Linked DNA regions of Daphnia pulex. The protein of the gene in region 1 interacts with the protein of each later gene in a pairwise test. Links are inferred from orthologs where the notes say so. Each region holds a gene or a part of one and is shown on either strand. Other genes may lie near its edges.

Evidence for each region.
Region 2: the proteins of cleavage and polyadenylation specificity factor subunit 5-like (region 1) and 60S acidic ribosomal protein P1-like interact in a two-hybrid assay, tested with the Homo sapiens proteins (2 studies listed by BioGRID and IntAct). The link is inferred for Daphnia pulex from reciprocal best matches to the Homo sapiens genes NUDT21 and RPLP1.

What each region holds. Positions count from the first base shown.
Region 1 is NC_060020.1:7,572,398-7,588,689, reverse strand, and holds cleavage and polyadenylation specificity factor subunit 5-like, read left to right. Parts: upstream 1-6,907; 5' UTR 6,908-7,036; coding exon 7,037-7,167; intron 7,168-7,301; coding exon 7,302-7,502; intron 7,503-7,560; coding exon 7,561-7,624; intron 7,625-7,676; coding exon 7,677-7,842; intron 7,843-7,929; coding exon 7,930-8,044; intron 8,045-8,103; coding exon 8,104-8,125; 3' UTR 8,126-8,330; downstream 8,331-16,292. UniProt on the Homo sapiens protein: Component of the cleavage factor Im (CFIm) complex that functions as an activator of the pre-mRNA 3'-end cleavage and polyadenylation processing required for the maturation of pre-mRNA into functional mRNAs.
Region 2 is NC_060024.1:493,900-510,363, reverse strand, and holds 60S acidic ribosomal protein P1-like, read left to right. Parts: upstream 1-7,624; 5' UTR 7,625-8,507; coding exon 8,508-8,585; intron 8,586-8,712; coding exon 8,713-8,875; intron 8,876-9,062; coding exon 9,063-9,155; intron 9,156-9,218; coding exon 9,219-9,232; 3' UTR 9,233-9,314; downstream 9,315-16,464. Other genes in the region: 40S ribosomal protein S18, read left to right, coding at 4,805-4,807, 4,968-5,153, 5,216-5,317, 5,373-5,464, 5,530-5,605; endophilin-B1-like, read right to left, coding at 5,730-5,852, 5,911-6,126, 6,185-6,298, 6,354-6,455, 6,519-6,643, 6,706-6,834, 6,914-7,055, 7,130-7,192; uncharacterized protein LOC124201206, read left to right, coding at 11,096-11,289, 11,384-11,630, 11,695-11,808; centromere protein I-like, read right to left, coding at 13,141-13,218, 13,331-13,410, 13,493-13,613, 13,679-13,820, 13,887-14,011, 14,070-14,206, 14,266-14,338, 14,405-14,511 and 8 more. UniProt on the Homo sapiens protein: Plays an important role in the elongation step of protein synthesis.

The DNA.
Region 1 (16,292 bases):
ATGAAAAACCACTAATAATTCAAAAGGAGGTGATAAAATAAAGAAAGTACTTTCTAGATACATGGAGAGACTAAAGCAATTGAATCCATTATTACTTAAATTTTTTTGAATGCTTTGAAATTAACTACTAGCTACGTAACTATACTTTAGTTTACAACATTTAAAATTCATTTAGATGATAAAAAGTGTTATGATCCGGTATGTTAGAGAAGGCCGGATTCTAGGAGGGGGAAAATAAATAAAAGTTGACGTAAGTCAACGTGGAGTGGACAACGGAGAGTGGTAATCGCGATGGAAGGGGAAAGACAAAGTTATTGCGGAGCATGACGGCAAAAAGGACGGTCAAGGGAAGAGAGTGGTGATACCTGGCTTGTGAGCTGAATGGACAGAGTGTAACAATGTGATGGACTATTTCAAATAATTTTTGGAATTTCTGTAGACCATACTATGAATGGAAATTCATGCTGCTGTGGCATTGTGTTATGTTTGTGGTACATAATGTAATTAAAGCAATTTTAAATTTATTTTATTAATTCAATAAAGTGGACTCCATGTGGGCATAGTTTAGAAAAACTTTAAATGTGGGGTATTACAGAGATGATTTCACTGAGTTGGGTGTATTTTATATGCTTTTTTATTGATTTCCCTAATATTTAAATAACATAGTTTATTTGAAAATTAATAGTTTTTGAATGTCTTCCACAGTTATTTTCGATATTTATCTCAATAAATTCTACAATCCTCCTTAATATTTAAATACTAAAATCAATTGGAAAATTTGTTTTTTTGAATTTCTCTAATATTTTGCAGAAAAGCCTTTTTCATTAAAAGCCCTCATATTTAGAAATTATAATTTCTAATGATGATTTTATTTGAAAGTGTTATGGTTTCAAAACTTCTTCGTCACTTATTCTCGCGAAATTAAAATTCTTAAACTATGCTTAGAGCTTCAACTTAAGTATTAAAAAAGAAATACGGCATTTAAATATTCAAGAGATGTTTATTATTTCCCTGATGTTTAATTGCCATAATTTACTTGAAGAGTTACTGTTTTATATTCTGCAATGATTGCCGAGAATGTCATCTTTTCATTAATTTTTCTAATATTTTATTATCACAGTTATTTGAAAGCTATTATTTTTGTATGTTATCATTGTTGAGAAACCATGAATCTCCTGTAATGCTACGAGCACCACGTAAATCACCTAAAAGAAACAATGGTAACATCCAGGATGATGCGGGATGTATCCGATCATTTGTACTCCCCTGGCAGTAACCACTCTTGAGATGCAAATAAAAATTATATCAGTACATGATAGCAAGAAATATAGAACTCCCTCGGGCGTTGAAACCTCTTTATCTTACAACCAGGAGATTCAGTAAAATTTATGAATTGATTGACAATGAAGTCCTGACGTCTCTGACCAATAACTTCATCAAATTATATCACTTATTTTCAACCCTTAAGCCATAAAAACACATACATTTTATCAATGCAATTTTAAAGTCAACAGCTTACAAGGCTCAGATATAGTTAAAACATATGTCCCAGATGAAAAAAGATAAGCCACTGCTACCATAACAGTTCTCCAGTTCTAAAATAAATTTCTTTTTTCACTTATCTCATTCGAAAAATAATTTTCTGTTGCTTTCAGTCTACCTCTTTTCACTTAAGTATTTGTCATTAGTAACTTCAGTGTAAATTACTTGCAATATCTCATTATCGGCCCACGGCCAGTGACAGTTTATGGAAAAACCAACTTTCTGTTTTTTTTGTCTCCTTTAGCAGAAGAATTTCGTTCGTAGAGTGGTCGATTCTTCTAGAAACGTCTAAAAACGTCTCCTACAGGAGACGAACAAAGGGATACAGTCATCAAAAAAATTATTAAAAATTAACCAGATTGAATTGGGGATAGAAATAAAAATTAGTTAATAAAGAAATGAATGAAGTATTCACTGTTAGGAAGAAAAAGGGGGAAATCAGAGTCATAGATAAGAAAACAATTTTTTTAGCAAGAAGAATTTGATTTTCCCATAAGACGCTGTAGGCGACACAGACCAACTTGGACAGAAATGAAATTTTCGCATTTGCGGAGAAATCGCAACGCAGAATGTCCAACTGCCCCATAATAGAAAACCAAGGGACAACGAAATTTTCTAACCAAGTACCGGTTACATTAATCGATATTGCAATATTGCACATAATAAAGGCTCGCGATGGCTAAAATAGGTAAAAATTTAAATAGATTAAGAGTGCTAGTAAAAACGCTACGGCGGGTTAGATTAGGAGTTTTCATTGCCACTAGATGTCGTTACGCGAAAGACTGGTGAATGTACAGGGATAGTTTTCACGTCTGTACAACTTTTCTAGCTCTTTCTTAAAATGCTACTAACTTATTTACAACGAAATCAATATCAATGGGAATTAACCTATGGGCTGCAATATGAAATGGCTAATCGATTAAACTATAAACATCAACGAAAAAACAATTATTCGAAACGTAGCGAGGGTCCCCCAATTCCTCATGCATAACATAAAAAACAAATGACAAACGACAGCCGCCTTAGCCATCTCTAAACAAACACAAGTTAAAAATGGACAAACCAACCTTTCATCACAAAATATACCCTATACCATACAGTTTTACATGGAAAATCCAACTGTAGAATAGTTCACCCAAAAAACAAAGACTCGAGGCACAGGAGGGTCCCTAAATCCACCAACCTGCCACCAACCAATCACAGCCCGACTTTCACGAACAAAATTTGAATTTCGATCAAACAAATAAATATATAAAATTGAATAAAAAACCAACATGTTTCAATTTTGGAAACATTGGAACGAAGATGAATACGGCGAATCACATAAAAAATTACTGAAAATCGAGAAAATGACCCGTTTACACGCTGGAACCCCTGGGGAAACAATCAACAGTTTGGGGCCCATAACCAAGGCATAGCCTTCCATCTTTTACCAAGGTTAAATCTCTCAGGGAAAATTTGGTATATTAAATTTAAAAATTACAACAAATGCAATATATTATATAAAAAACCGATTGACTTTATTAACAAATTTATATTTTCTTTTGAAAAAAAAACAAGTTCATCGTGAAACAAAAGTGGTACAAACGGTATTCCATAAAAGTATTTGTTGTGAATTCAGAGATATCTGCGTAAAGAAAATAAAAGGTATGAAGGAGGGTTAAGGTACATATAAACTGTGGTAATTGTGACATGCATTTCCAAATGAAGGTACTGGTGACGAAGGTTCTTAAAAAAATGAGGTACTAATGACATGACCCCTATCAGAGAATCTCTTCAGAAGAAATGTTTGAATGGGATCAAGGGGGACGATTTTGTTAGGCTTTGAAAAATTAGAGACAGAAAATAAGCAAAAATAACAGAAGTGAACTCAGCAAAAATTCAGGAAGTCATTGGTAGCTCCAGATGCAAAGCTGGTGCTAAGTTGTTCTTCTTAGCTCTACAGGGAGTTGGTAATTTCTCATATCTATATTTCATACAACAATTGAGTATTTATTGATTCGTTTATTTTTTTATTTAGGTCTCTTTATGTGCTTCACGCGATATGAAGAACTAAAGGAATTCTCTGGAGCCAATAAGCAAACGCTGGCCAATTGGCCATTTCCACAAACCTGGCCACATACTTGGACTCCGAGGAAAGTTGGCTTATGTTTCGCATTATTCTGGTAAGTTTCATGGTCGTCATTGTCTTAATGCTCATATTTTGGCGCAATTACATTCGTGGGGCTATTGTCCTCATCGACAAAGCCAAAAGCCAGCCAGTACATTGAATTAACAGTTAATTGGCAATTCTTCATCGTTTTTTAATAACTTTTTTTGTGATTTTGTTTTAGGACTGTTGGTAGTCTAACAATCTTCCCTATCTTCCCTTGGGTCTTCCAAGTTCTTTGCATTGGGTATTTTGGGTCAGTTTCACTCTAAGTGGCCTCGATCGGTATTTCATCGTTCTAGGTGGTGGGTCTTGAAACTGGCTTTACCCATTACTTGGTGACGTTCCTCCAGTTTTACAACATTTTTGGTCTGGTATGGGTTCTATCCTTCGGTTCCGTCATGTCTGAAATGGCATTGGCCGGTGCCTTTGCCTCCTAGGACTTCAACACACCCACAGACAAGCCGTTGTACGGCTTGTTTTCAGCATTAAGAATTCTCTAGTATTTTCAAATTTCATTCGTCTGTATTTGTTTCTCATCATCAATCAAAGGTTTGTTTTTTAAATTATTTTTGTGGCAGCTTCAATATTGGGACAGCCACTTTAAGAACTTTGTTTGCCCTTTTTCGGCCCATTTACATGTTGCTTGAATGAGTCAAACAAAGAGAAGGCTTTCACGCAGATGACTGTCTGTCATCCCTTAAAGTGTTTTTCCTAGTATTCGAATCACTGCTTTATTTGTCCGTTTAGATATTTAAGCAAATGCTGTTCCTGGTAATATATATTTATGTATTCAGTAAATTAATTAATTCCTTAAAAATATTTTGGTTTTCATTTCAGGTTGGTGGACAAATTTCTACTTTTTGGCAACAGACAAGTTCCTATCCTGTGCGCCGTTGATGGCACCGATTTTGGCCAATCGGCTGAAAAGGCAGAGTCACTAAGTCCACGCAACGTCACTCGATTGAAGACAATTACAGCAATTTTGTTTTTTATCGGCCAACTTGGCATTGGCACCGCCGTGGGAATTGGATGTTTCTAGATCTTCACTTATGGTCATTTTCTTCTTGTTCTATAAATCTAAAAAAAAATCATTAATGAAAACAAGGAATTCCATCACACTCATCTTTCTCTTAAGTGATAACTAGGCCGCCTCTGGCCGACGTGCCTCAGCATCTAGATGTAAACGCTGCTAACAAGATGAAAGCTACCCAGCAAAAGGTAAAGACAATTATGGTTGATTGTCATGTTAAATAGTGTAACGGATGTCTCACGCTTATCATGTAGATCCGCTGACCCATGTAATATCAGCACTAATTAGCCTATCATATAGATCCGCCGACCCATGTACCGGCACATATTAGCCTATCATATAGATCCGCCCAACCCAGCATAAAAGGGTCCGGCAAAGAGCTCCTCGCTCTCAGTCTCTGTATTCAACGTTTATCGTGACTTACAATACACGTCTTCAATCCTATTCACCGCCTTGTTACAATAGTATTAATACTTTTTTATTGGTGAAACAGACAGTAGCAATTGCGAAGTTGGTCCCTAACAATTTGAAAGTTCTTGAAGACAAAGAGAATCGAGAGGAAAGGTCCAAGTCTCTCAAGGTGGAGCAATTGCAGGAGGAGATATATCAAAAGAATCTTAAAATAGAAAAGCAGCAGATAGAAATCGACAAGTTGCGAGATCAAGTTTCGGAATATCGGACATACTACAAACGCGAATGTAAAATTTAGTTTGATTTTTTTAAAATTCCTAATTTAATCCATTTTTTTATGAATAGTAATTGAAAAGGCACGCATTCTTGGAAAAATGGAAAAGTACGACAGGGAGAAGGCTAAATTGGAAGCTAAGGCTAAGGTAAATATAACCACTCCTTTTATTACAACGTAATCTTAACTCATTTTTCTTTTTCTCAGACGCAGAAGAAAAGACATGACACAGAGTAGTGTTAGGTTGTAATCCGGGTAGTTAATTTAAGTAAATTAACGGAGTGTATTAAGCGAGGCGAAAGGAGCTTCTCTCTACGGACTCAGCCGAAACCAGACTGCCCTTCTTCCTGCTCGCTGCTTCCAAGCTTCAGCGCTTGAGCGCCGCACGACATCTAGCGGTCGCGGGAAGAAGGGCACAATAACACAACAAGTAGGAATTGAATAAGAATTTTCTGGTCATTACATTCATGGTTAGATCTATTGTCACGACATATGTCGTGGCGCGACGGTCAAAACTGTCTATTGTCACGACATCTGTCGTGGCAATAAAGAGAAAATTGTCTATCACATTTGATAATGGATCGAATTAAAAGACGAAAAATAGATTTTTGGTTATAGCGCTGGCATGATAATGAAGAGGGCCATGGTTCAAGTCTCATTATAGATTTACTTTTTTTTTAGAATAAAAATATTGTTTTGACCCATGCCCTTTGTTAACCATGACTCAGACAAATCAAAATTTTGCGGTAGAATTTTTTTTCACAAAATTTCATAGAAAGAACATTGAATTTATAGAAAAATTCTGATAAATTTGGAAGGCATTTAGCAAAAAGTCCGACTTAACAATAGGCCCTGAATTTTTCATTTAAGACAGTTTTCAACTGGCTTACGACTATCCCTTCGCGGCGAGCTGATAAGCTTGCTTTTCTATCTTTAAAATATATATATTCTTAAACTGTCCGAAAAAGCCCCTTCTGTGGGGTGAAACCGGACAAAAAGTCAGTGAAACTAAACCGTTAATATTTAAGCCATTTATTACTAAAAAACATTTTCAAAAGAAGTTTTTGAAAGAAGAAACCCTGGGCTACATTTTGGTGCCAAAACAAATACTTTTCTGAGCTTGCACTTAAAGAAATATTAACTATAAACCAGTTTGCTAAATTTTGTCCGGAATAGCCCCTCTTCCCCTACATCTATAACTCTGGTTTGGGAACGCGCGATATCGCTAGAGCAGAGCTATAGAATACTGGTAGCGCCACTGCCATGTTAACTCTTCCTCTCGGAAATTTTATCTGGGGCTGAAGCCAACTTTAGCAATCGATAGTGAAAATCGGAGATAATCGGAGCTAAGATATCGATCTCGCTCCTTGCCACTCCTCCACTTTTCCCTCCATTCCTATACCATGCCATGCGAATACCCTATTTCCCCACACACCCGCTGTGGTGCTTTTAGCTAAGGAGCAGGGCAGGCTTCAATTCCAGAGAAAAAAAGCAATGGAAGAGCTCGTCATATGAGTGGCGGTACCAGTATTCCATAGCTCTGGCTAAGAGAATAAAATTTCAGTTAAATTGCAACGTTGTCAATGCCAGTTTCTGTCAGTCTGCTGAATGCTACTATTGCTTTACCATGGCTTGCATACAATCCTGTACGAATCGCGTCGGTTGGCCTAAAAGTGAAATAAAAACCGAAATAAAAACTGAAATGTCAAACATGAAATTCAATCAGGGATCTTTGACGTTGCACAGAACTATCAATTTGTAAGTATTTTAACCTTTTATGGAAATAATGCCACATGAAGACAAAGAGCAACAATGTTTTGATTGAAAGAAAACAATGTTATTGAACTGCTATTTTCAAACACTTATTGACAGCAACATTCTCTTTATATTAGGTACCCTTTGTCAAACTACACATTTGGAACCAAAGATCCTTTATTTGAAAGAGATCCATCAGTTCCTGCACGATTTCAACGAATGAGGGAAGAATTTGATAAAGTTGGAATGAGACGAAGTGTAGAAGGCATCTTACTAGTTCATGAACATGGGCTACCTCATGTTTTGTTGTTACAGTTGGGAACCACTTTCTTTAAACTGTAAGAGTAATTTACAAAACATCACCTTTCATTTCTAATCTTCAACTTTTCTTCAAAGGCCAGGGGGAGAGTTAAACCCAGGAGAAGATGATATCGAAGGGTTGAAGAGACTACTAACAGAGGTATTTAAAGAAAAAAATTCACTAGTTTATTACTTTTTAACACCCTGTCTAGATTTTAGGAAGACAAGATGGTGTAGTGCAAGATTGGCTTATTGAAGATTCAGTCGGAAACTGGTGGCGTCCAAATTTTGAACCACCTCAATATCCATATATACCTCCACACATAACAAAACCAAAGGAGCATAAGAAACTTTTCTTGGTTCAGCTTCAAGAAAAAGGTATAAATAATTCTTTTCGTCTTGAGCAGTTTGGATATTTTAGTTATTTTAACCCTCTTAATGAACATGATATTTATTCTACATTAGCTCTCTTCGCAGTACCCAAAAATTACAAACTTGTTGCTGCACCCCTTTTTGAATTATACGACAATTCTCAGGGATATGGTCCCATCATATCCTCTCTTCCACAAACAATGAGCAGGTTAAAACTTTAATCACGGTATGATTTTCTTGGGATAATCATTAGACTTTGTTTGTCAGATTTGATTTCATATACATGTAAGGAAACTTCACAAGCCCAAGTTCTCTACACAGTCCAAAGGCGAGGGTTCTGCAAAATAGTCTCAACAATTTGCGTGTTTTTTTATTTGTGGCAGTGACTTTGACGCTTATCTAAGTGAAAGAAGAAACGAAGGCTCATTTAATTCGTTAATCGTCTTAATGTGCGGCTGAATTTGATTCATTCAATAAATGCTTATAAAAGCAAATCTCATTGTGTTCGCGACGCAAGTCGACCATTCAAGTTCAAGAAAATAAAAATTCTTTGTTAAAGGTATGGATGAAACGAAGTAATTCAAGTATATATTTAGTGTAACACTTGGTCGAAAGCCTTCAGACAGATTGGGTGGCTAACCTACTATAATCCTCTCAGACCCGAACGGGGAAAAAAAAGGCTTGACAGTACATTGACAAAGAAGAAGCGAAGTGAGGTCAAACAGTAACGAGAATCGACAGGGGGAAAAAATCAACTAATCTCCTTGTGGACGTGGATTATCAAATAATCCTTCGGCAATAATGAAGAACGTGACCAGTGCGTCGAACGAAGAAGGGGGGGGGGGAGTAAAGAGCAACCCGAGAACAAGCAGAGGGAAGGAGAGAATACGAAATTTAACTCTGGTCGTTGGTAATTACATCAGAACGTGACTCGTTACTCTCTCGATCCTCCACATCGCCCTAGCGACCTCAAAGTGCGCCGTTGAAAGAAGGGGAAGAAAATCGAATACAACAGAGGGAGGTCTGAGAGGTGGTGAAAAAGGAACGATAAAGAATAGATGGACGAAATAAACCTCCCGTCAAACCCAGAATTTCAACAAGGTAAGTGATTTCGTTTCGCTGTTGTTCCCAATCGTGACAACTGAGGCAGACTTTATTTGAATATTCTCTCGCCGGAAATAAGACTTTTCTTTTTCTCCCATCTTCATCCCCAGCGTTCCTGGACCGAGCCTCAGCTACTGTCGCCCCGTTCAAAAATCCCATTTGATTTAGTTTTATTCTTGTTATTTACTTTCATGCCTATTACACACCGTCGTCCCATTTTCACAAGGCGGTCGCAGCGTCGTTTTCCGGCTGATATTTTCGGGCCGATAGCAAAAAAAAACGATTTTCTATCCTCTCTTTCTGTAGTCATCGGCTGCCGAGTCCGAGCGACAGCAGAAGCGCTAGATTGGCTTTATGCTAATGCGTCCCCGTTAAATGGCGTGGCGGGGAGAGAGCGCCGTAGATGCTCCGATACCAAAAAAGCCGCATAGGATCTGCATGAAGCGGCGGAAGAAGCGCAACTACTGAAGCGCTGCACTCACGAGAGGGGAAGAATAAGTAAAGAAAGAAAGAAAGAAAAAGAAAAGAAAAGGGAGAGCGCGTGCTGGCGAGCGAACGAACGGAAAAGAGAGCCAGAGATGGGTGCTTCCCCGTACAACATTACCCTATGAATGAGTTTCCTTAATGCCTTCCTTGCTTGTCCGAATTGATGGGTTCGTCTAGCTCTACCCCCCTCCTTTTTTTATTTATTATCATTTTCTTGGCGTTTTCAACTTTTTCTCGTCTCTCCATCGGCTATTGATATGGAGAGGAGATGTCGCTTAACGGCTTTTACACGCATCAGAGCAGGCGAGAGTTGCATGGGATATTATCCGAGGTCGAAGGCCAGGTGTCCGTTATGCGCCACAAGAAGAAGAAATAAAGGGCCTAGCTCTCTGGCTCTCCTTTAAAGAATAGAGAAAAAGGGAAATACTTGTATTACGTAGCATACTATATGTAGTGGAGGCGGCGGCGGCGGCGGCCGTTTCTTTCTTTTGCCAAAGGTTGCGTGGAGATTGGATTTGGTGAATCTACCTCGTTTGGCCTTCTTCTCCTTTTGATAAAAGCTGGGACTGTTGTTGAGATGCTAAACCTGGTCTTGATCGAAAGGTTTTGATACGAACTCGACAAGAGGTAATAAGGTCTCGTTTCACAGTCGAAATATATGGGCAGAAAAAGAGTCGAGAGGCGGAAAAGCTAAAGATGAAGGAGAAAAGACAATTTCATTTCCTTTCGGGGGGGAGGAGGGGGGCTGGCCTCTCGCCGGGCAAAATGGAAATGGTGATTCGTTTTTACTCGGCTGCTGACTCTCTTTTCTCTCTGTGTGTCTTTATAATACCTGTTGCCTCTTTTCTATAGATCTTTCGAGAGCCCCCCCAGCTCTAGCGCTCCATTTTCGTTCAACCTGTTGTTAACGCGCACGGCCAACTTCTCGGACTATAAAAAGGGACGATATATGATAAAGTGGGAGGGAACTTGGAAGACTCTATAGTAGTTTGTTCTGTTGGAAAAGTGGCAAATAGAGACAAAGAGATGTGTGCGGCCGCCGTCCTTACTGGAGACTTGGAGAGACGATAAAGAAACAGGATGGGAAGGGGAAAAAAAAACAAAAAAAACAAAAAGAAGATGAAAATATACAAGGAACCAACTGGTTGGGTACGGTAGGAACGGCGTCGTAGTTGTCGCAGAGTTGGACCCAAGTTTAAGGTAAGGAGTTGTGTGAGGGAGTAAGACAAAGAGAAGCAGCAGGCCGGAGACTCTCCAACTTTCCCTTTTGCTGGACCATCATCATCTCTAGATGAACGACTTTAGGCCCGTGTCCCCTTGCAAACTTGAACTCTTGGCTGATGGCTAATTGCTTTGCAGCAGGTCGAGGACTCTGGTTGAAACCGAATTGAGTCTCCATACGTGGACTTGTACTATACTACGACTCAATAGAGTCTCTCTCTCTCTCTCTGCTCTATATTCTCAACCTCTCTTCCTCCCCCACTCTACTCTTTCTCTCTATATCTCGGTCCGTCCGCCTGACTTGGCAATCTCAAAGAGAGCTCGAGCAAAGTGGGCGAACCTGTTCCTGGCTCCTGTTGGGTTTGGTTTCATCGTAAGATGAGATTTGACCGAATCGAGCGTGTACGCTAATCGAACCGCACTCGGTATAGGCCTTCCCAACTTCTTCTCGAAGGTCACCACCCTCCGTCTCTCCTATTTCTCCTGGAAGTAAAAAAATTGGGTAAAAAAAATGTCTTTCCTACTATATTCAGACTTTTTTATACCATCGACTTGCGTGTTTTTTTTTCTTCTTCTTCTTCTTTTTTCCCCCCTCTTGGGCTATCCGCCTTTTCCTCCCTCATTTCTCCTTTGCTTCCATTTCTATTGGCTCCTGCCCCTAAGGTAGTCGAATACACTGCACACACATATAAGGGACGACGCCGTATAGGACGGCGCCGGTGGTTGGCAAAGGCGGCGGCGACGGATGAGATTGTTAGTCGCATCCCTCGAGCGATTGAACCGCCTTCGTGCGTAATTATATTTCGCTCTTACATGCAGACGTCAATGCCGAATAGAGAGACCGAGAGAGAGAGACGACGTATGTATGTACTACTACTGTATGTACGTGCATTCGTTGTAACATATCAAAATGTAGGCTACTATCCAACAAGGGATGCTAGCCGAGAGAGAAAATATCTATATTACAGCTCCTGTATATACACACGCACACACTGCGCCTTCTATATATACTTGTACACATTCATGTGTAATGGATGTCGTCGATCTACGCCCCGAGTCAGATTGAATTGCCTTTTCTTCCGATCGATCCCAATGCATTTTCTCGCTCTCCTCCTCATCTTCCACCGCCACCTACACCTCCCCCTCGTAACAGGACTCTATACCGGCTACCATCAACAACTGCATGTACGCCGAGAGTTGGGAAATAGAGAAAAAAAATATAACCTTGGCATCCATATCATCATCATAATAATAAAGTTCATCACGGGTAGTCGGGTACGTTGGATCGAAGCCGAAAAATCGCTAGGCATCGAAAAAGATTTTCTGATTCGGCCGCGGTTTCTTTTCTTGGCCACGCCGATGAGAGGCGCAACCAAGCGGCGTTGTTCGACGCTGATGAGCGGCGACCGACCGAGACCGAAGAGGAGGACTCAGCCAGTCGTGAGAAATTCTCGGGGTATATATCTTGGAGCTCCCGCGTGTGTGTGTGTGTGTGTGTGTGGTGGCCCAGCAGGATCATTAGGGCCGTTGTCTGCCAACAATCTGATTAGGTGCGTGTCGTGTAGAGCGGGGGGAGAGAGATGCTGGGGGAAGGAGAAGAAGAAGTCAACCCTCTCTTGATTCCCGCACGCCTGATGCTGCACAACAGCTCGCTCTTTCTCTTTCAGTCGCTTCACTGAACGCGCAGCCAAAGACAAAGCAGATAAGACCCTATCCCCCCTCCCCTGTATCTTCCGCGTCTAGTAACAAAACAAAAACCCGGCGGAGATGAAATAAGATCATAAAAGAAAATGAAAAAAAAAAAAGAAAGGAAAGGAGGGGAAAGTAATCAGAATCGATAGTACTATATAGTGGCGGCAAAATCAAATTCTGTTGCTGGCGTAGCGCTTGGCTGCCGCATGCCAGCCAGGCGCGATTTAAAGTGGACGACGAGGCGCGTTCTATTCTCTACTCCTCTTATCCAAAGACCGCTTAGATATGCATCTTTCTCTGCTAGAGAGAAGAGTAAGAAGCCGTCGAGTCTCGCCATCAGAATGGGCCTGTTCAACCCACCGTCACATCAAAACATCAAAGTCAGCGTTTATACTGTTGGAGAGAAGATTGCCATGACGCCAGCGAAAGCCGGCAACACAACAATACGTCAGTCGCCAGATATTCTCTCGCCAGTCGTCCGTCCTCGCTTTACGCGACTGCTGAATCATCATCGCTGGCTGCGGATGTGTATTGTGTTGCCAACGCCGAGAAACCGATCATCAAGGTGTCGTCCAATTAAATTCAACCCACTGACGCCGGCGCCATCAGCGCGGATGATCGAATGCCGCCCGTGTGACGCAAGAGCACTGATTTGGCACGGCTGTGAAAAATATCACGCGGCCGTTCTTCTCTTTCACCGCGAGGCCCCAATATCTTCCGTCTCGAAGCGTCGCTAAATCGCGCTGACAAAAAATGTTGCCCAATGACGGGAAAAATTCTTGATAATGACGCGCCCACGAAATTATCTTCTTCTGACTCTTTTTCAAGTCCCATTTTTGGGGGAGGTCGTTCTCTTTATAGTCCGCATTTAATGCGACCATGCCCGAAAAATTCACGATTTCAAAGATGTAGTACCGGTATAGTGCCTTGCATTATTTGGCAATGTACCAGCAATTCTTTTTTTCAGTTTTTGGGGTCGTGTCCTTTTTGCTGGTCCGAGTGCCATCAGTGGGCAGAGATGGGGGCGACAACGCGTTCTCTTTTCCTAGACGTGGAAGGAGCGTCGTCCAGCTTGTTGTGACAGGAAAAGTTTCATCAGATATGGCCACTGTTCGAATACGGGGTGGGGACGGCTGCACTGGCATCTATTTTGATAGAGAGAGATTGCCGGCCCATACATCAGAATTCCCGGTATAGAAAGAGAGATCTATAGTGTGTCTATTTGGATTGGGCTAAAGTTTTTTGGAAACAAGACAACGAATCGATAAAGCTCATTTGATATCGATTCGGATATGTCGGGTTTGATACGGTTCCCTCGACAACAGGTTCTCGTCCCTACTACACACTCGGCTGTAACGAAGAAAATCGAACACGCGGGAGGAGGGGGGACCGACGGATGAGGAGTGAATACAGAACGAAAAGAATAGGAAGGAGGAAACTCCGTCCCTCCCTTCCAACCTACGACTACAACCACCCCACTTTCAAAATTCGTGTCCTCACTGCCAAAGAAACTGTCGATTCGGCATTTCAATCACATCGCCCAGCCAGCAGTAGATAGCACTATTCGCTGGGCACAAGCAGTACATATATACTAGATGGGGAAGGGGGTAGAGGAGATGTATGTGTGTGTGTGTGTCAATCTATAGGCTAAAGGAATATTTGAAGCAGCAGAGTAACAAGTTGGAAGCGCCGGTTATATAGTCTGGAGGCTGTTGAGAGAGCGGGAGAGGTCACGGAATTGGTTGATAATGAGCACTGGAAACATTTCGATGAGGGGCGGAGGTGAAGGGAATCATCAACGGACGCGCGTCTATACTAAATCCTTGCTGCTCTCTGCGCCCAGCAGTGCTCCCCAAGGAAGACGGGCGATAACGCGCCGGGTATTATTTTTTTTTTTTTTATATTTTTTTCTTCTCTCCTATAGACGAAGACGACGGCCCCGGGTTTCTCGTTCAATTCTCGATTGGCGAGTTGATCCGTTTATAAATGAGATGCGGTGATGGCGGCGGCGGCGGATAGGAGGAGGAGGAGGAGCGGCCGATTCTCCTCTTTTCCTTCCGCCAAGTCGAGTCGACTGTGCCCAGGCAAAAACGGAATGGAGCGCACGCAGCGGATGAGCTATAGCGGCGGCTTCCTGCATCCATTCCATTTCGCCAGGTTCTTGATGCGCGCTTGGCGGAACGAGACGATAATTGATGATTGAACTGCTGCTGTTGCTCCGCTATATAGCTGGCCTACTACCTCCCCACCCCCACCCTAACTTTTTTCCACACATAACTGGTCTGCTGTTGATGGAATCGACGGCCCTAGCTGCTGCCGGATCGTCCGCCGCCCAGCAAAAAGAAGAACTCGGGACGCCCCTTTTTACACACAACACACACAACACACACGGGAGCAAAGCTAGGAGTGGTAAACATGTTTTCTTCTCTCTATCGGAGAGATAAGGGGGCGATCTTTCCACCATTTCTCCCCCTTCTCTCTATATACGCGATGCCCCCTTGTATGCTGGATGTATTAAACTGCTGATGTGAAGAGTGAAGACGTATGCGATATTCAAAAGAGAGAGAGAGGCAAAAACATCAGAGTCAAAACAAAATCTGAAAGAGAAAAAAAAAGCTAACCCGAAAAGTTTCATTTCTGCGTGTTCGCAAAGAGGAAATCCAACCATCGTTTGTTATCAGTTGCGGTTTCCTGCTCCCATATTTTCTTCATCATTTTTTCCCCCCTCCTTCACGAGAGAGAGTGAAAGAAAAAGGGTGGAGTTGCTTTTTCTTCCGCTTCCTTCGTATCCAGTCATCCATCTTTCTTTCTTTCTTTCTTTCTCTTCTTTATTATTGTTTTCTCTGCCTTTTTCCCCATTTCTTTTTTCTTTGTTTCTTCGCTGCTGCTGCTGCTGCTCTTTTCTCTCGACTGGGTGGTGGTGGTGGTTCACTTGTTGACAGAGGCGCTGAACATTATCGCCGAGCTCTCGGTAGTAATGCCGGGGCCACCACCCAACCACCCCGCAAAGAATATAAGGAGTCATATATACACATTCCCAGAAGAAAAAGAAGAAGAAGAAGATTCTTATATAATACCGAGGAACGTGTTTGTCCTGACAGAAATGTGTGCGGATGAGCAGCGGCCTAGAGCTTCGATGACGTCGCCACCACGCAGAGGGTGGGAAATCTGTGTGTCTAGCACTAGCGATCGCCTTCCACGCTATCAGTCCTTTCCAGTCCATCGACCACCCCGCCAGACGAAGAAGAAAAAAAAAACCCCATTTTCTCCCTTCTTTTTTTTTTAATATCAATAGAAATCAATGCGCTCTGTGCACTCACTCGCAGTGTGTGTATGCACACACACACACATGCAAGGTCGGTTTGAAAGGTTTTCGGTCCAATACTAGTACTACTACACCGAAAACGAGAAACCAGAGGAATATAATAACATAGATTCTAACCTACCCTGCCAACCTATTTGGCTACTGCCATTATTATGCAGCAGGACTCTTTTCAATGCAACGAAATGGAGGGGGGGGGGGGATGGCCTACGACACAGAAAAGGGTATTGTATATGTAGAGAGAGAGAGATAGATAGGGTTGGCTGATGGGTCACGTTCGGATCCTCTATTTTTATCTGTATTTTTTCCTTTTTATGAAGCGAAACGACCACCAGTGCTGCTGTCATCGAAATCCCGCCTCAAGAAGCCTGCTGGGATGGGTGGGTGGGAAAGAAAAAAAAGATATAAATATAGTACAGCCTCAGACATTAAGTATTGAAGGCATTCGTTGTATATTTAATAGAAGAAGAGGCGAGAGCGGTGGCAGATGACGGAAAGAGAAAGGCTCGACACTCTGCCGCGCTACTCACAGCTGCGCGATCTGTTGAGTGCTCTTTTATGAAAATCGCTCAACACGAGACATTCCCGCTTGATTGACATATAGTAGTACTACCGACAACAACCGTATATA
Region 2 (16,464 bases), on another chromosome or scaffold:
CTTGACCAAGTAAACTGCTATTTATCTGTATTGAAATCGCAAAGGCAATTTACTACTCCCCCTAAAATCAAATTTGATGAAGTAATGAGCGACGGCAAATTATCATTTTCCGTTCCTTAAATGTCTTCACTGTCAATTATGATCCCCCTATCTCTTGCGCAATATGTGACTTGCGATGAAAGCCCACAGTATACAAACTATATCCTTCTATTGCGCATATGTGCATCTCTTCAGTGTTACACCTTTACCGAGGATCAGCTAAAGATCACTCAGTTAGACATAGAGAGTCATAACTCCGCTTTTGTTGTACTATATCCCAAGATTTCTGGCTATTCAATTACCCCCAAACTTCATTATTTGCTCCATTTCATTTCCCAGATTAAGTTGCACGGGCCACCGCGATACTCTTATTCTTGTTATAGATACGAATCCAAAAATTCTCCACTAAAAAAAGTTATGCGACGGATTTGTAATTATAAGAATGTTGAGTTTTCGTTGGCCTTCAACCACCAACAACTCCTTGGCCTTGCAATAAAATCTGAGGGGGAGGCGGAATTTTTCTGTGGCGGAAAAGATTTCCAATTTTTGGCTTTTTATAAATATAAAAAGCAAACAGTTCAAGGTTGTCGGCGTGGTTCTCTGTATTCCCCCCCTGCCTTGCTTAGTCGAAATAAATTTGTTATTTCATCTGTAAAGACCTTGAAAGTATCTGGCAGACTCTGTCAGAAAGGATCTGTGTTTCTTAAAGCAATAGAAAATTCCATGCCTGTCTTTTGGAGATTATCAACTGTGTTGATTCTAATCTAGACAACGATAAAGAATTCATTTTCGAAAATTTGATGACTCTCTATTTTTCCGATGACCACCTCTCATTTGTTGTAAAACCGAGTGAAACTTTTTGTGCTATCTCTCAGTTTTCTTCTTTGTTATTCAATTGTCCACTGCAGACAGTGTTGTGACGATCGCAATCGTTCGATCGCGCGATCATGATCGCGATCATTTTTCCGTGATCGCGACCGCGATCGTGATCCAAACAGAAAAACACGATCGGGATCGGGATCGAAGGCCAAAAATAGGACTGCAGAGACTGCAAAGACTGCAGTCTGCAGTCTTTTGTATTGCAAAATAATATTTCACGTTACACCCAAACTATTACAACATGTTGTAGGTGTATGTTTTCAATGAATTGAACTAATAAACATGACATTATACCTGAAAACTATTTCAACGGCACTCAAACCCATATTTCAGTTGCTCATTTCTCTACGTTACTGTGGTTATGAAGCGTACGTTCTATGCACATATAATCCACGTTTTCATCGACAATACAAAAGCGCGCAATATTGTTGAAAGGATTGGAAATACCATAGCCCCAACTACTGATCGTTTAAGTGCAGCTACACTTAGACTCCTTGACGCATTTTCATACTTAGAGCAATTTTTCATACTTGTTTCATAAAAAGGAGTAATCAAGTAAGTGAATACTTAAAATAGTAAGTGTTTTGCAGGTTTGTTAAGTGAATTTTCACAAACAAGTGGCGTGGGCCACTGAACTACTTAGTTTTTCAGTGTCAAACCGCCGCTGTGTGGCTGACCGATCGAAAGATGTGACCCATTTGGTCAGTGAGTCAGTTTAAAACGTCAACAAGTTTTCATCTCACTGTCTCATCAAAGAAAGAGGATGCTGAGAAAAAAATCGGGAATGTCATTGACCCATCTATATATAGCTGGGAGATGTTACTACGGATCACTGGTCAAATCTATCGTCTTCTCTCAAATCTTAAGAAGAAAGACGCATCGCGGAAATCATGGAATCTCCAGCCTCTAAATGCCTTGCACTTGAACTTGAACCTTATCTGAAACTACTCGATGGCATATAACCGCTTTGAACGGCAGCTGAAAAATGTTTGAGGGGTGAGACCGTTAGGGGTCAGAAGAAAACTCACTTTGAAACACAACTAATAAACGCATCAACACAAGGTCTTAGGTGAGCAAATTTTCATACAATTGATGAGAGTAGCGCATTTTAACGACATAACATTCGATCAAATAACGCTTAAAGTACCATTGTTTTGTTATTTTTGGAGAACAGAAAGTTTGAAATCAATTGGGGAAGTACACGGAGCGATAAAGATATGTTTTGAGAAAAGAGTGGAAGGTCTTGTGGTCGTTGATATATTTGATGGCCATGGGCAAAACGAGACAAGACAACTGGCGACAAATCGGCCTTAGACGTCTTTCTATTCTTTGTAAACAAATTGAGTATGCATACAATTTGTCGACTTCAATTTATGTTTGCAAACTCCACTAAAAGATCGCTGTAACGCATTTTGGCTGGAAGCTGCGATAAGACTTACTACTGAATCATTGAAATGCTTGTCAATGTTGTTTATTGTCTTGTACAGTACCTACCAGAATTTTGGAAGCGCTCGAGAGAAAATTATGTAAAAAGTCGAATATCGCGGTGTTCCCAAAAATCGGGTTTTTGACGGAGGGCATTGAATGTTTTTTAGTATAGCTATAATAGTTGGCTACTTCTGGAATTGTTTTCGAATTTTTATAACTAAGGGAAGGGCAGCCAAAAATGGATGTACAGTATCCTACAAAAAAATCCGAACGGCGATTTTTTTGTTTTGAGCCACCTATCCATATATCGGGAAACTGTGTTTGGCTTTTTTACATAAAATCAAAAAAAAACTAATTGTATTCCTAGAAAATAAAAAATGTTATCTGGCATAATTTGTTCCAGACCTAAAAAAAACATTGGGCCATTCCCATTCCATGGTATTTTTTTTATTTTTTTTGTCGCGGTACCTCACCGATTATGATGAAAAAAAAATACTGTGTTGAAAGTCATGGTTGTACATAATACTGTGAAAATTTAAAATTTTTTGGATCAGTGGTTGAGCGTGTTGTTCCAAATTTCCGGTTTTTTACGGAAGCGCAATGCGGAATTTTTACTAAAACATAAATAAAACAGCGGCAGATTGAGTAATTGAGATCGGACAAAAACAAAAAAAAATATTTAAAAAAATTAAATTTTTTGGTTTTCGTCTTCGTCGAGTTGGATTAGTCATAGTAAGGTTACGCAATCTTCATTTAAAGAAGAAAACTTTAATGGCTAATATTGCCATTCTCGAACGGCGAAGCGGGTCGCGACTTACGCCATTCGATAGCCCGTCTTCATTTAAACTTATCATGGATAAAATTTTCCTCCTTCCAATCTTGGTGTTTTAGTTTTATGAATAATACCCGAAGGGTTTTTAATCACTCACGTTTTTATTTTTTGCTGGCATGGGTGGGTTTAGTACTCGATTGCACACTAGATGGCTATAGTTTTGGCGATTGTCACTAGATGGTAATCAAGCGAAAATACAAAAATTAATTTTAATTGTTGAAGGATACGTGTAAGTGCAAAAAGCGCCACTTCGATTTCGAAAAGATGATTAGTCTGCATAGAGAACTACGCATGGATTTCAATTGCGCCATTAGTCAGGCAATTAAAATTTTTTGTCATTTGGCATTAAGAAACAACATGACCATTGTTTTTTATGAATGAATCTAGTTTTTAATGAAAAAAAAATCGCAAACATCCCTTCGGGTGCCTTGCTAACGCAGGTAATTGACAATTTAATTTGTTCGATAACCCTATCTTTTAACACAGGGGACATCGCACCTTACACTTCTCCCAGAGGAAGCGCGCGCATCGTTTACAGCTACCCTAGGTGTAGAAATAAGGATATCGAACAAATATAAATAATTGAAGATAAAGTCGGCAAAAAATCGTTTACTGTATTCACTAAATCCGAACAATTAAACTGAATTCGACATTATTATCGACTTATCCACTCTCTGTTACAATGTGCTTTTATCATTTCAATTTGTTTTTATTAAGACACTTTTAGCACCAGCGAAGTTTTTTACCGAAGTTATAATTATAATTCATGATGGAATTAATATTTTTAAGGGGGTTTAACATAATAACTTTTTTAAATTTCATTAATTTATTAAAATTAAATTAATGGAAAAATGCTATTTGGAATTCGTTTGGGTTGACCCCTTTTCTTTAATGTCGCGTCGTTTTCTCGTTCGTCGACTAGAATCCATTGACTGTCCTGGAGGGAAGAATCAAAAGTCCCATCCCTGTGTCCCTGGTCCCTAATTAAAGGAAAGAAGCATGAACTGAATATTTCAAACGTACCAAATTCAAGAGTTGTGCTGAATTGTTCTCCAACATAAATTACATGAAAAGGAAAATGATAATAAAATACACAAGCTTTAGGTTTTCTAAACATTGAATTAAATCTCTAGCGATCTATAATTCCATTATTTCATCCAATCCATAGGACTTAACTTGTATGTTTACTTTTTTCCTTTCACTAGTTTCAGGATTGAAATCAAAATGCACAACCCGGATTTTGTTTCAATTCGTTTCGCTCACGGCAGAGATCTACTACTCTACTCGCGGACTGCGCGGATTTTTTTATTCAAAGATTTCACTTTCAAACTGCGACCTTCGCCATCTAGCAATCAGGGGTACCCCTGTAGCAATAGTAAATAAATACGTGATTCCGTTGTAGTTGGCGCCACAAGTTCAAGTGTAGGAATCTTAAAAATGTAATTCCCTTGTTTTAAACTGGTGTATGCCGTCTGGCCTCCGCCGTAGCGATGGCGTACCGACTCAAAACATTAATCTGGCAGCGTCGCATTTAACATTTCTTTCATTTCGTGTGCAGCTTCAGCTTGCAATTCTTTCCATTTTCCTGGCAAGTTGGTCTACGGATTACACTAACATCCTTTCGCCATGGTAAGCATTTTCATTTGACTAAATCTTTGACATCGTTAGTTTTGAATAGTTATAAAGTAATGCAGGTTGTTGTACGGTATTTTTCTCTACTTTTGTCCTACGATTTGTTGGTATAGTAAATAATATTCTCTTTGTTTTTAATGTGTTATGTTACTTGAAGTCGCTGGTACTCCCTGAGAAGTTTCAACACATTTTGCGTATTCTCAACACCAATATCGATGGTAAAATCAAGATCATGTTTGCCGTCACCTCAATTAAAGGTGTTGGTAGACGTTACGCCAATGTCGTTCTCAAGAAAGCCGACATCGACTTGACTAAACGTGCCGGTGAACTGTCAGAGGAAGAGGTATATTTAATTATCCAATTAAGAATTTACAGGCGTTTAAAGTATTACCAACTTACATTCAGGTCGAGAAATTGATCACAATTATGGCCAACCCTAGACAGTACAAGATCCCTGATTGGTTCCTTAACAGGCAAAAGGACATCAAGGATGGCAAATTCTCTCAGGTAACTTGCCCATTTGTGCTTTGCATTTGGATTGTGTATCATTGTTTTTTCTTAGGTCACTTCCAACATGCTTGAGAACAAGCTTCGTGAGGACCTTGAAAGATTGAAGAAGATTCGCGCTCACCGTGGTCTACGTCATTACTGGGGGTATACTTTTTTCATTATTTTATCATTCATATTTCATTGTTTTGACAAAACATTATGCATTTTAGCCTCCGAGTTCGTGGTCAACATACGAAAACTACTGGTCGTCGTGGACGCACAGTTGGTGTCTCGAAAAAGAAGTAAACAAAATCTGTATTCGAGTACATTTCTGTGGAATCTTGTTAACAGGAAATACATTTCATGGAATTCAAATTTTATATTAATTTATTTAGCTTTTAATATTAAGTGAACATTAAAATTGAATATATCATGAACTATGAGATTGATCAATAAATTCCAAGTAACTTGAAGGGATTTTTCCTGCTTGGTGTCCTCTTTCCGCTTGTACATAATCTGGGTCATTGGGAATAGTGCTTACAACATCAATAACCTAATATTAAAAATGATAATATTATATTATATTCGAATTTAACGTAATTCATAAATACCTCTCCCGCAATAAGTGATAACTCGGTAATATCTTGACTGTCGTAATCACAGATAACGCGAGCTTTCCTACGTTCAGATAATCCAGGTGTACTAGGATTATTAAATGTGATATCAGAGGTGCTAACTTGCAAGCTAAGAGCACCCAATTCTTTTTGTAATTGTTGAAGAGTTGCACTGCAGGCTAGAAAATAACGTGCTTGGGCGGCTGCAAAATCCTGGATGGATCAATGTCGTAAATACAGTATTTTAAAATTATTACACATTTTCTCCTACTTGTAGATGTTTACAGTGAGAAGTATGAGCAGGTCCAATTCCCTCAAGTAACAGCCTAGTTACCTCAGACTGACGGTCAAATTCTATCTGGGCAAAATTTACCTCTTGTTCAGCCTAGGTGATACATTTTTCATAAAAACATGTTTAAGATATTATTAAATTTTAGTACCATTTGTCGACTAGACTGTGTCTTTGATTTTCGAAGGCGATTTTTTGCAGCATCCAAATCCAGGCGCTTAGATTCAAGTAACTTTCTTTCTCTTAATATTGACTATCAGAAAGATGTTTAATAAACTCCTGGTTCAACACAATACCAGTGGACCTTTAAACTTACTTTCAAATCACTTTCCATAAACTTTTTCAAAGGATCAACAAAGGCTTGAGTTGCAGAAGTAGCAAAATCACGTTCAAGAGCACCCAGTTTCTGCTGACAAAGTCCAACTTTCAGCAGAGTACTACCTACAATATTTACAATATATATCAATAAAATGGGAAAATAATTAAATGTGTTGAAATCTAACCATATAAAGTCCCAGGCCCTAGATCATTGCCAGCCTCAACCATGTCTACTCCTAAATAATCCAAATTGGACAGACGTGCTAATCTTCTTCTTTCAATTTTATCCATTAAAAAGTCTTCTACTCTATTCCCTAGAATTCAAATTAATTGTGCGAATGTTTAAAAAAAAAGGGAAATTAAAAGAAAATAAAGACTTTGGAATATTCATACCTGGGTTAGGCGTGAGCACAGAATCAACATCCCTAACTAATTTCTCAGTCCATGACTTTGTTAAATCACATCTTTGAGAAAGATTTTCAAAGTGAGCATCTAACTCAGTCTTTTCAGATGTACCTAACTTTTCTTCAGTAAACTGAAAAGTACATAAACAAAACCAGGCATAATGTTACATAACCTATTAACAGTCTTAAAGTGACAGAAAAATACCTGAACCGCTCGTGTAAACAAAGTTCCAGCATCTCCTACAAGTTTTTTAACATTGAATTCCATTGTAGTTTTTTTTTTTCTTAGTAACAAAAACTGAACTATAGATATTCGTTGTACTTCGATTGTCACTCAGTTTCTCAAACGCGCTACTTTATGCCGTTTGAGAATATCAGAATAATATTTCACTGGCTTGCAAGTTGCAACAAGTGGTTTTCAACTTTTCACTTTTCAGTGTTTGCGTGCTGATTTGCCGAAGTCCTCCTCAAATTTAGGACACCTAGCGGTTTCAAGAATCGTGTTATAAGTTATAACTACAATGCTGGCTACTAGCTACTAGGTCTTAATAACAGAGTTACGCGGTTACTTTTTCAATTCGACATGTCACTCTATTTGCATTATGATGTTTTGAGTTTAATTGAATTTTGAAAATCCAATTTGCTTCATTCAAATGGCAATTTATTTATTTTAAAACCAAAGGGTAAGAAACGGGAAAATTCGCTTTCCCGTACAATATTTCATTGATTTACCTGTAGGAACAAACGAAAGAGCTTAAATAAAAGCGAAATCTTGGACAATCAGAAAAAGCCATATACCTTTATAATCTCTAGTTGAAAAAATCTGGTGGTTTTTCTTTTCTATATGACTTGTCCTATGCGTAATCAGCTCTGGTAATCGCGTATTATTTATAAAAAGTTGAAAACATACGTTCGAACAAACACTGCCAGTTAATAATGAAATGGATATAGCTGTGAGTGTTTTTTTTTTCAATTATTACTCTTTAAATTTCAATCAGAAACCAGATTTTAAAAAGTAAAATATGCAATAGAGAATATTCACTAATTGATTCAAATTCAATTTTATTTTATTTGATAGAAAATTACAAAAAAATATACAAAATCTTTATATAGTACGCAAATCGTTTGCTAACGCCAGAGCATCACGATTGTATCCCTAGTCTTTTTCTTTTCTTATTTGCGTGACGGTCGGCAGTTACGATTACTACCTGGTACCTACCATGACGAGCATGAGATTTGTAATTCCCGCTCTAAAATTTACAGAAATGCAATTTTAATCGACAAAATTTGATTTACTTAATTAGTTTCAATAAAATATAATTTTTTTTTAATATTTATAAACATGTTTATAAATGTTTAACTTCGAAGAAGGAAAAAGTTTTGCAATTGTTAAAACTCGTTTCGGTTACCTACTGTTTACTCAACTTCCCTGCGAAACTTGCGACGTTTGCCACCAGACGTCCTGCTCATAGGAAAATAGCTTCGTTCAGTTCCATTCTTTTGCTTGTCCTCGTTTCGAGCTAAGGCCTTCCTTGTGGCGACTTGCATTTATCTGTTAACATCCGTTCAGAAACTTCATCGAAATGGCTGATCAAAGCAGAGACGAATTGGCTTGTGTCTACGCTGCTCTCGTTCTTTTGGACGATGATGTAGCCATCACGGTAAATATATTTTTTCACACTGTTAATTATCCTTGTACCGGAACATGTCAAGATGGTTGAGGTGACTGGGCTGTTCTGTATCGGAGTTCTGCACATGTTGGTAACTTCAATTTTTATTAAACTGTAGGCTGAAAAGATCCAAACGATCTTGAAAGCTGCCGATGTTAAGGTAGAACCATACTGGCCTGGTTTGTTCGCTAAGGCTTTGGATGGTCTTAACCTTAAGAGCATGATCACCAACGTCGGCTCAGGAGTTGGTGCCGCCCCAGCAGCTGGAGCTGCTGCCGCAGGTAATACTAGTTTGATATCACGCTGTCAATAGATGTTAATTTTAAAATGATGATAAACGGATGGTTCGCTAAATAATCGTATGAAATTACTGTGATTTCAAAACTCCTTGCAGTCTGAAGCCTCTTCATCATATATCTTATTTGTGCTTGTTAATGTGGTACTGTAACAAATATGTTTATTTCATAGCCCCTGCTGCTGCCGCCCCAGCAGCCAAAGAGGAAAAGAAGGAGGAGAAGAAGAAGGAAGAGTCCGAAGAGGAGGATGATGACATGGGCTTTGGTATGTTACTTACAATCTCTAAAAATTTGCACACCAATCTAACCATTTTTTTTTTCATTGTAGGTTTGTTTGACTAAAGGGAATTCAATCCACTTCTGTTTTGTGTCAAGTCATGGGCCAATTTTGTGTCTTGTGCAAATACATCAGGAGTTCCATAAATCTGTCTTGCTTCGTTGTATGGTTTCTATCCAAAATGGTCTGTTCTTACCTTAATATCGAACTAATGGCAGTTAGACGATTTTCTATGACTGGATCATGGATTAGGGTATTTTAGTTGATCAGTCATACCATTAACTCTTGGGTTGAACGAAGCGTCTTCATTAGTTTTACACGTTTCTTGCCGTCTTATTAACTGATATGCAAATTGTAGACTGATTGTAAACATGAGTTTAGATAGAAATGTCGGTAGTCTCATTTGGATTCGAGGAAAGTTGTCCATGCTGATCAAACTGAAAAAGAATATTGTTTTTCCAGCTGCATGTGGTTCTGATGTTCATTCAAAGTCGATAATTTCGAATATATTTCATGTCTTGGATTAGAGCAAAAACCACAGATAAAGTAAGATCGTAACATAAAGCTTTATAGTTTTTAATATGCAAAAATTTGTAGACATGTTTTAACAAACGACGCTAAAAATTCGTTACAGTCTAGACAACACCGGGTTTTGCATGGAACGTGTCAACGTGACAAAGTTACTTGTCACAAGTCTCAGACGGCCATCAGAGTTGTAAAGGAACTAGTCGGTGAGGGTGATGGTAGCACCCTATCTGACGATAATATTAGAGAAGAAAGTTTTGGATGATTCTGGAACTGATTTGCATTGACACTTTCATGGTTATTTCATTTAAACAAAGCCGGGACAGGACGTCAACCAGTAAACAAACAATCCCTGTGAGCTCAATAAGAACCAAACAAAAGGAAGATTAGAAACGTTACTTCTTCACGTTCACACAAGTTCTTCATTACGATTAGCATTTCGGGTTGTGGCGAGTTGCGAAAGGGATTAAATCCGACAGAATTCAGTACACTGGAGACAGAAAGGTGCGATGCCTGCAAAACTTACACATTTTTTAAAAAAACAAACCTGAATTACGACGATGAAGGCAGTAATATAAAAATGTCACCTATATATATTATTGCCTTCAAGATATAACGGATATTACAAACCGCGTGCGTCGATGAAGAAGGTATAGCAACACCAGCCAATTTGAGGAAATGTTATTTTGTTTCATCTCGTATTAATACAGGCAATCGTAAAGCGCTCGAACTCGGCAACGACAGGCCTTCACGGACAAGTCAAAGATTCCCAGCGGCCAAAGCCAAAGTTTGAAATTGGTTACCATATACATTCTCAGTGTGTATTCCAATGAAACGTGCCGCGCGCAGCAAGGGAGCGGAATATTGCTTTAGATTTATGTAAAATCCAAATAATGTCGCCTCACTAAATAGTTTCTAAGGTACAAGTAGAACCTATCAGTAAAATAAGCAGTTGCTTCAAATGGACTGATGGTTGTTTTAAGGGGACTTTGGTCGCCTGATTTGAACCATGAATTTGCAGATCATGTTCCTGTTGTAAGTAGCGTGATGGAGATTAAGTCAGGTACGGTATTGGAAGCATGGCCAAAGTTTGGGGTATTAGTTATGTATAATGTTATTAATGAAAAATGTTATGAAGGCGGAAAATTGTCAGCTTTTTACATTAGTTACGGTCGTGATACGGAATTATTGAAAACACAATTTGTCACGTGTTGCTGGTGTGTGTTTTTAATATGCGTTCATGACATGTTACGGCTAGGAAAGTAGGAATACAGGTGAATGGATACACACTCAAGCTTACAGCAGTTAGAGTGAGTTTCCCTTCGAGTCAAGTCGCGCTCGTTAATAAGGTGCCAGTGAAACTGTAATTGTAATTCAACCGTCGTTCTACGGAGGATATCAGAATGAGCAACGAACACTCCGATCTTAAATTTTCTCGATCTTCTTCAAGCCTCGATCATAATAACGTCTTGCTGATGAATCAGGGATCATTAGTCGCCGCAAATGAAGATCATTCAGCTGACGTTGTGGCTTCACCAGTCCATCCAATAATGGATCCCAACGAGAATCCGACTGATAACTCGATGACAGCAACAGCGTAAGAGAAACACATTTGACATCATTTTCTTCGGCAATTTTTCAGAACGTCTGTAGTATAAAAATATGTGTGTGCTTAAATTGGAATTTTACAGATTGGTGCTTGGTTTGGGATCAGCTGTGCTCTTTCTTTTGTTAGTGGTCTACGTCGTTGTGAAAGTTCATTTTTGTAAAAAACAAACATCGAAGAAAAAAATGTCAACTCCAAGCCACGAGACAATAATAAAGAGTTCACCTCTTCCAACTGTTTCATCTATTATTCAAAATCAAAATACATTTTCCTTAAACAATGACTCGACTTCACATTCAGTTGACAATGCAAATCAGCAATCAGGACTGGATGTATGTTTACTGTGATTTTCTGTTTTAAATTCCTATAAAATAATTGTTTTTACCATCTCCACAGATCTATCGGATTCACTCGTTAGGGTTCAGTAGCCAATCTCCTCCTGAACCAACGCTAACGGATAATGCGACTCAGGCTCGTTTGACCGGAGCTAGATTTTTGCCGGGAAATTAACCAACGACAATATAAACGAACGTTTCAAGATTATGATGACAACAATTAAACATGCATTTTTAGTAAACGCTGTGTAAATAGTTACAATTTATTTCCGTGTCGGTAAAAATGGTTTACTAATCTACTTCTAGTGCTAAGTACTATGTTAAAGGGTTTGAAAGAAACGTTATATTTAAACATATGAGTACGGCTAAATTTTGTAATCTTATCTTATCATTCTTAGAAGCAAAAAATAGTTATTTTTCCATTAATTAATAGAAGTAGTTTTAAAACCTTAGTAAACATTGCTAACGTTTCTAGTGTCCACTTCACATTCATTCATTATTCATAAACGGATTGGGGAAAAACACGCGACTCAAATTTTTTTTTTGTCGTTTTACAGGATGTAAGCCAACATAATTTTCTCACACAAGGAAAAATTTACAAAATTTTGAATAAAATACTACCGTGAGTTTCCTCATAATGTAATAGCTAAAACCTCATGAAACGCCTATTATTATTGAGGCCTTTCAGGTTTGATCCACTACTGCGCAATCGGATTCTGCAGAAGTTAATTTATACATTAGTCAAAATGTTTATTTACATAACAATCATAACGTTTTCACTTTTTTGAGAAAATCTGTTCAAGTTATCAGGTGACAAATGATGGTTCGTGAAATGTGTAGGAAGGAAAAATGAGACCGGTGCGCTCATTACGTAATCCATAATATCGTGATCTATAGTTTTAACAGATTGTAATTCACTGAATTTCACAACAAAGACAAAGGAAAGACAAGGGCGACATAAATGATAATGAATATTCAACGACAGCAACGGCTTACATAATAATTAACTGAGCTTACGGTCGATTACAGTTTTCCGTATTCTTTGGGCATATATATAATTTTTTTACTAAGAATAAAAAGCCCGACGGCTTTTTCCCGTTTGAATGGTGTTATTTGCTTAGTATTTAATTTTGACAAATGCAATTTAAACGGGAGAGGAAAACCAAAATTTTAATTAACTTCAGATGAGGTTACGTTCAGTTCTGACTACAGACTTTGGCACTCGCTAGCACGATGTTTGTTTTTTGTTTAAGCAACGGTGTTTCATGTAGGGAAACCGATTGCCTTCCACACTAGTTTCTTTAACCGAAAAACGATGTGCGTATCGCTCATAAAGGATGTATAGTCTGAAAAAATACATTTTTTACTGCTAAAATTTGACTAAAGAAGAATAAAACAGAAATTTTTAACTTGAGCAAATTTTATTGAAGTACTGTGCTTATAAAATTCTCAAGAAATTGAAGAATCTTAGACGAAGAATATTCTGTTACATTTCATTTTCACAATGTCAAGTGCTGTTATGGAACTGTTGTATATAGTCCATTATTGCAGTATAACGACCCAACAAGTATCGAGTGTAATCATCCTGAAAAAAAAATTTAATATCAAATTAATCTTAATAGTTGTTTTTATCTTTTTTTGTGTTTTTTTTTTTTTTTTTTGTTTGTTTGTTTATTCAAAATTATGAGAGAACTAACCAAATCGGCATCAACTTCTTCAAAGAGCTTCAAAGACTTTTCATTTCCAGATTTAGACTTGAGCCATCGACGGGAAATACCTACGTCAAACAACGCATAAATTAAAATACGGGAGTAAATTAAATTAGTATTAAGATTAAGCACGAAAAATCAATGACTCACCAGTAAATGCAGGATGTCTTTCCAAAACAAAAGATGACTGGAAAGAACCCAAGTTGGACAGTTTTTTCAGGTTTCTCCGGGGTAATAGCGCTAACATCGAATTTCCGCCTGGTGCAAAGGCCTGCCGAGAAAACATATAAATATTCAAAATGATACATGATGAAGAAAAGCATGTCAAAATGGAACCTTGTGATAAACTAAACATCTCGATATATCGATAATATAACGGTTCAATCTGGCAGCTTCCTCCAACGAATCTTGATGAAATTCTCCCAATTCGGGAAGTGGAGACATAGCGATCAGTTGATTTCGCCCTAATTCACCGTACCTTTATTTCAAGAAATTCCAGTTAATAAATATCTTTATTAGCTTGAAAAATAAAAGAATTAATTACTTGCACATAAGTTTGCATACAAGTGAAACGGTCACTGGAGCCGGTGAAAACAAGGCCATATAAACGGCAATAGGTTGACAGAAGGTCCGGAATGGCAATTTAAACTCCGATTCCAGATCAATAAGCTGCGCATCAGATTTGTTAGATGATGTTATTTTAACTGGACTTCAAAAAGTAGCTTACCCATAAATGAAACAAAAGGGAATTTAAGACAAGTGAAGAATCGGAGGAAGACGTTAAGGCCGTATTGAAAAGACGTTCGGTAAAACGTATAACTTCGTTGATGACGTAGGTACCTTCCACTAACTTCAAAATCTCATCTAAAGTATCGGATATTTGTTAGCAGGTGGTTAAATAAAAAAGCTAATACATGAACTACCTGGTGAAACTGTTTTTTCCGATTTCTGGAATAATAATTTGGCTTTTTTAACAGACCCAAATTGTTGAAGTAGCTACAAAAAAATGTCTTTAAGTTTCATTTCAATGCATGAGCTGTAAAAGAAACAACAGTTACATACCAAATTATGAATGAGCTTTCGACATACATCGATGATTTTTAATCGATGTGATGTATCACAGGAGTGAAACAAACCCTCCAAAACTTGCAAGAAATTTCCATAAAGATCTGAATTAGGAAAAAAATTTCAATCTTACTGCAAATATTCGAATTAACTTAATGATTAAAACAAACCAGGGTATGAGAGAAAAGGAATTTGCGCCAAAAGTTGAAAAATTTGATCACGGAATTGAATTCCATCCCAAGTTTGGAGATATAACGATAGGAATTTATAAACGACCTTAAAGAAAAAGAATTTCACATAATTTCTTAAAGTTTAAGGAAAAGAGAATTAATGATACCATGAGATTCCGTCCAGTATTTTGTTGGAACTCTAAGATTCTCTGTAAAAGTAGCGTCTTTCCTTCTCTGCCGTGAACCTGTGGTCTTTCCATGAACTCTTCATTTTGATGACACCATCAAATAATTAAATTGAATAATAATACTGAAAACATCATGCGCAATTCAACAAACCGTGATACAGAACATTATAAAGCCACTGAGATAACAGCGCTTCCATGCGCGGCGTGAAATGAAAAGACAGGACATAGTGATATTCTTTCTTGCCCAGTAGTGATCCTACATGATTCGGTAGTTCAACTGAAGTTATTTGACTCAGCAGGTCATCAAATCTGTATATTAAATTATTAGAACATGAGTGAATAATTTTAAAGTTATTTGGAAAAATTTTAATTACGATTGTAATCGAGACAAGGGCACCATTTTTCGAAAGTCGACTTCAAAAGAGGATTTCAGATTGAAGTGCTGAACTCGTGGAATGATGTCTAATCTCATATTTTTGTTCGTCTATTTTTAAATGGTCGGAATTAGAGACTAATTTCATGAAGGGAGCGTAGTGAAAAAAAAAATTGTACCCTTTGTTTTCCAGTTTCGATGGAGAAAGTAACTTGATTGGGTATTTCATTGCGTTCCTTGATGCTTTCTGAAAGCGCGAACAGACCGTTCCGTATCGAAAATGGGGCTTGAGGAAACGAGATGGCATCGCTTTGATGAGGGATAGTCTGTGGAACCAAATCAGGGCGAAGGGATTTCACACGACTCAAAAGACCAGCTGCATTAATAAATTAATTGGTTTTCAAGGCTGAATTATGAACATGTGCTGTAAAAAAATCAGTTACCTAGTGGCTTTGTAAGGCCCACAATATTAACGCTCTTGGTAATTTTTTCCACTTGAAATTTGTACATGTTGGGTGTTGCAATCATGTAGAGTAGGTGGCAAACTGATGCTTGCTGAATAGAAGTTAAATATTGAATGTTTAATTAATAATGTAAATTAGATCAAGTGTAAATGAGTATTACATATTTGGCAGTGTAGATCAGCTGTATTAAAGGAGTTAACATATTTTCAAGTCCGACTAGAGAGTCAACAATACCATATTGAACAACTGCTGTCAACCACTTGATTCGCTGCAAAATCGCATTAGGACTCCTCTTTTTAGAATTGCTTGTCAGAATCCATTTTGCCACTTTCATAGCATTTTCAGATTTTAAAGGGCCACTTGGCACCAAATCTTTCATCTTGACAGCAGATGTTGATAGAACTGATAATATTATAGGTTAGAAGTGTCAAACATACAAAAGGAAAGGTAGAAAGTAACATTACGTGTTTTAATAATTTCCTCTTCAGTCATTTTCATGCCATCACTGGACTTATTTTCCGTTCTCTGGTCATCGTCACTCTCAGCCTCAGCCATCTTGTTGAACGTTTGAATATTTTGAGTCTAATCAAAACAAACGCATACTACAAACGCCTGTTTTCAATACTACCTTATGGGCACTAATCACACTATTTTTCGTACTTGGGCTGTCTGGTGTGTGAACCAAGCAGAAAACGGTAGCAGGAGAGCAGCAGGAAAGACAGCCGTTTCCCGGGTTTCTCAGAGCCTCGGTGTTGCCGGATATTCAAATTTCCTTCTCTCTCTGCCACACCAAGCTCCGACAAGGCGACAACAGAGGACAGAGCCAGTGGGCCAGACACCAGGCCAGAGCTATAGAAATAGA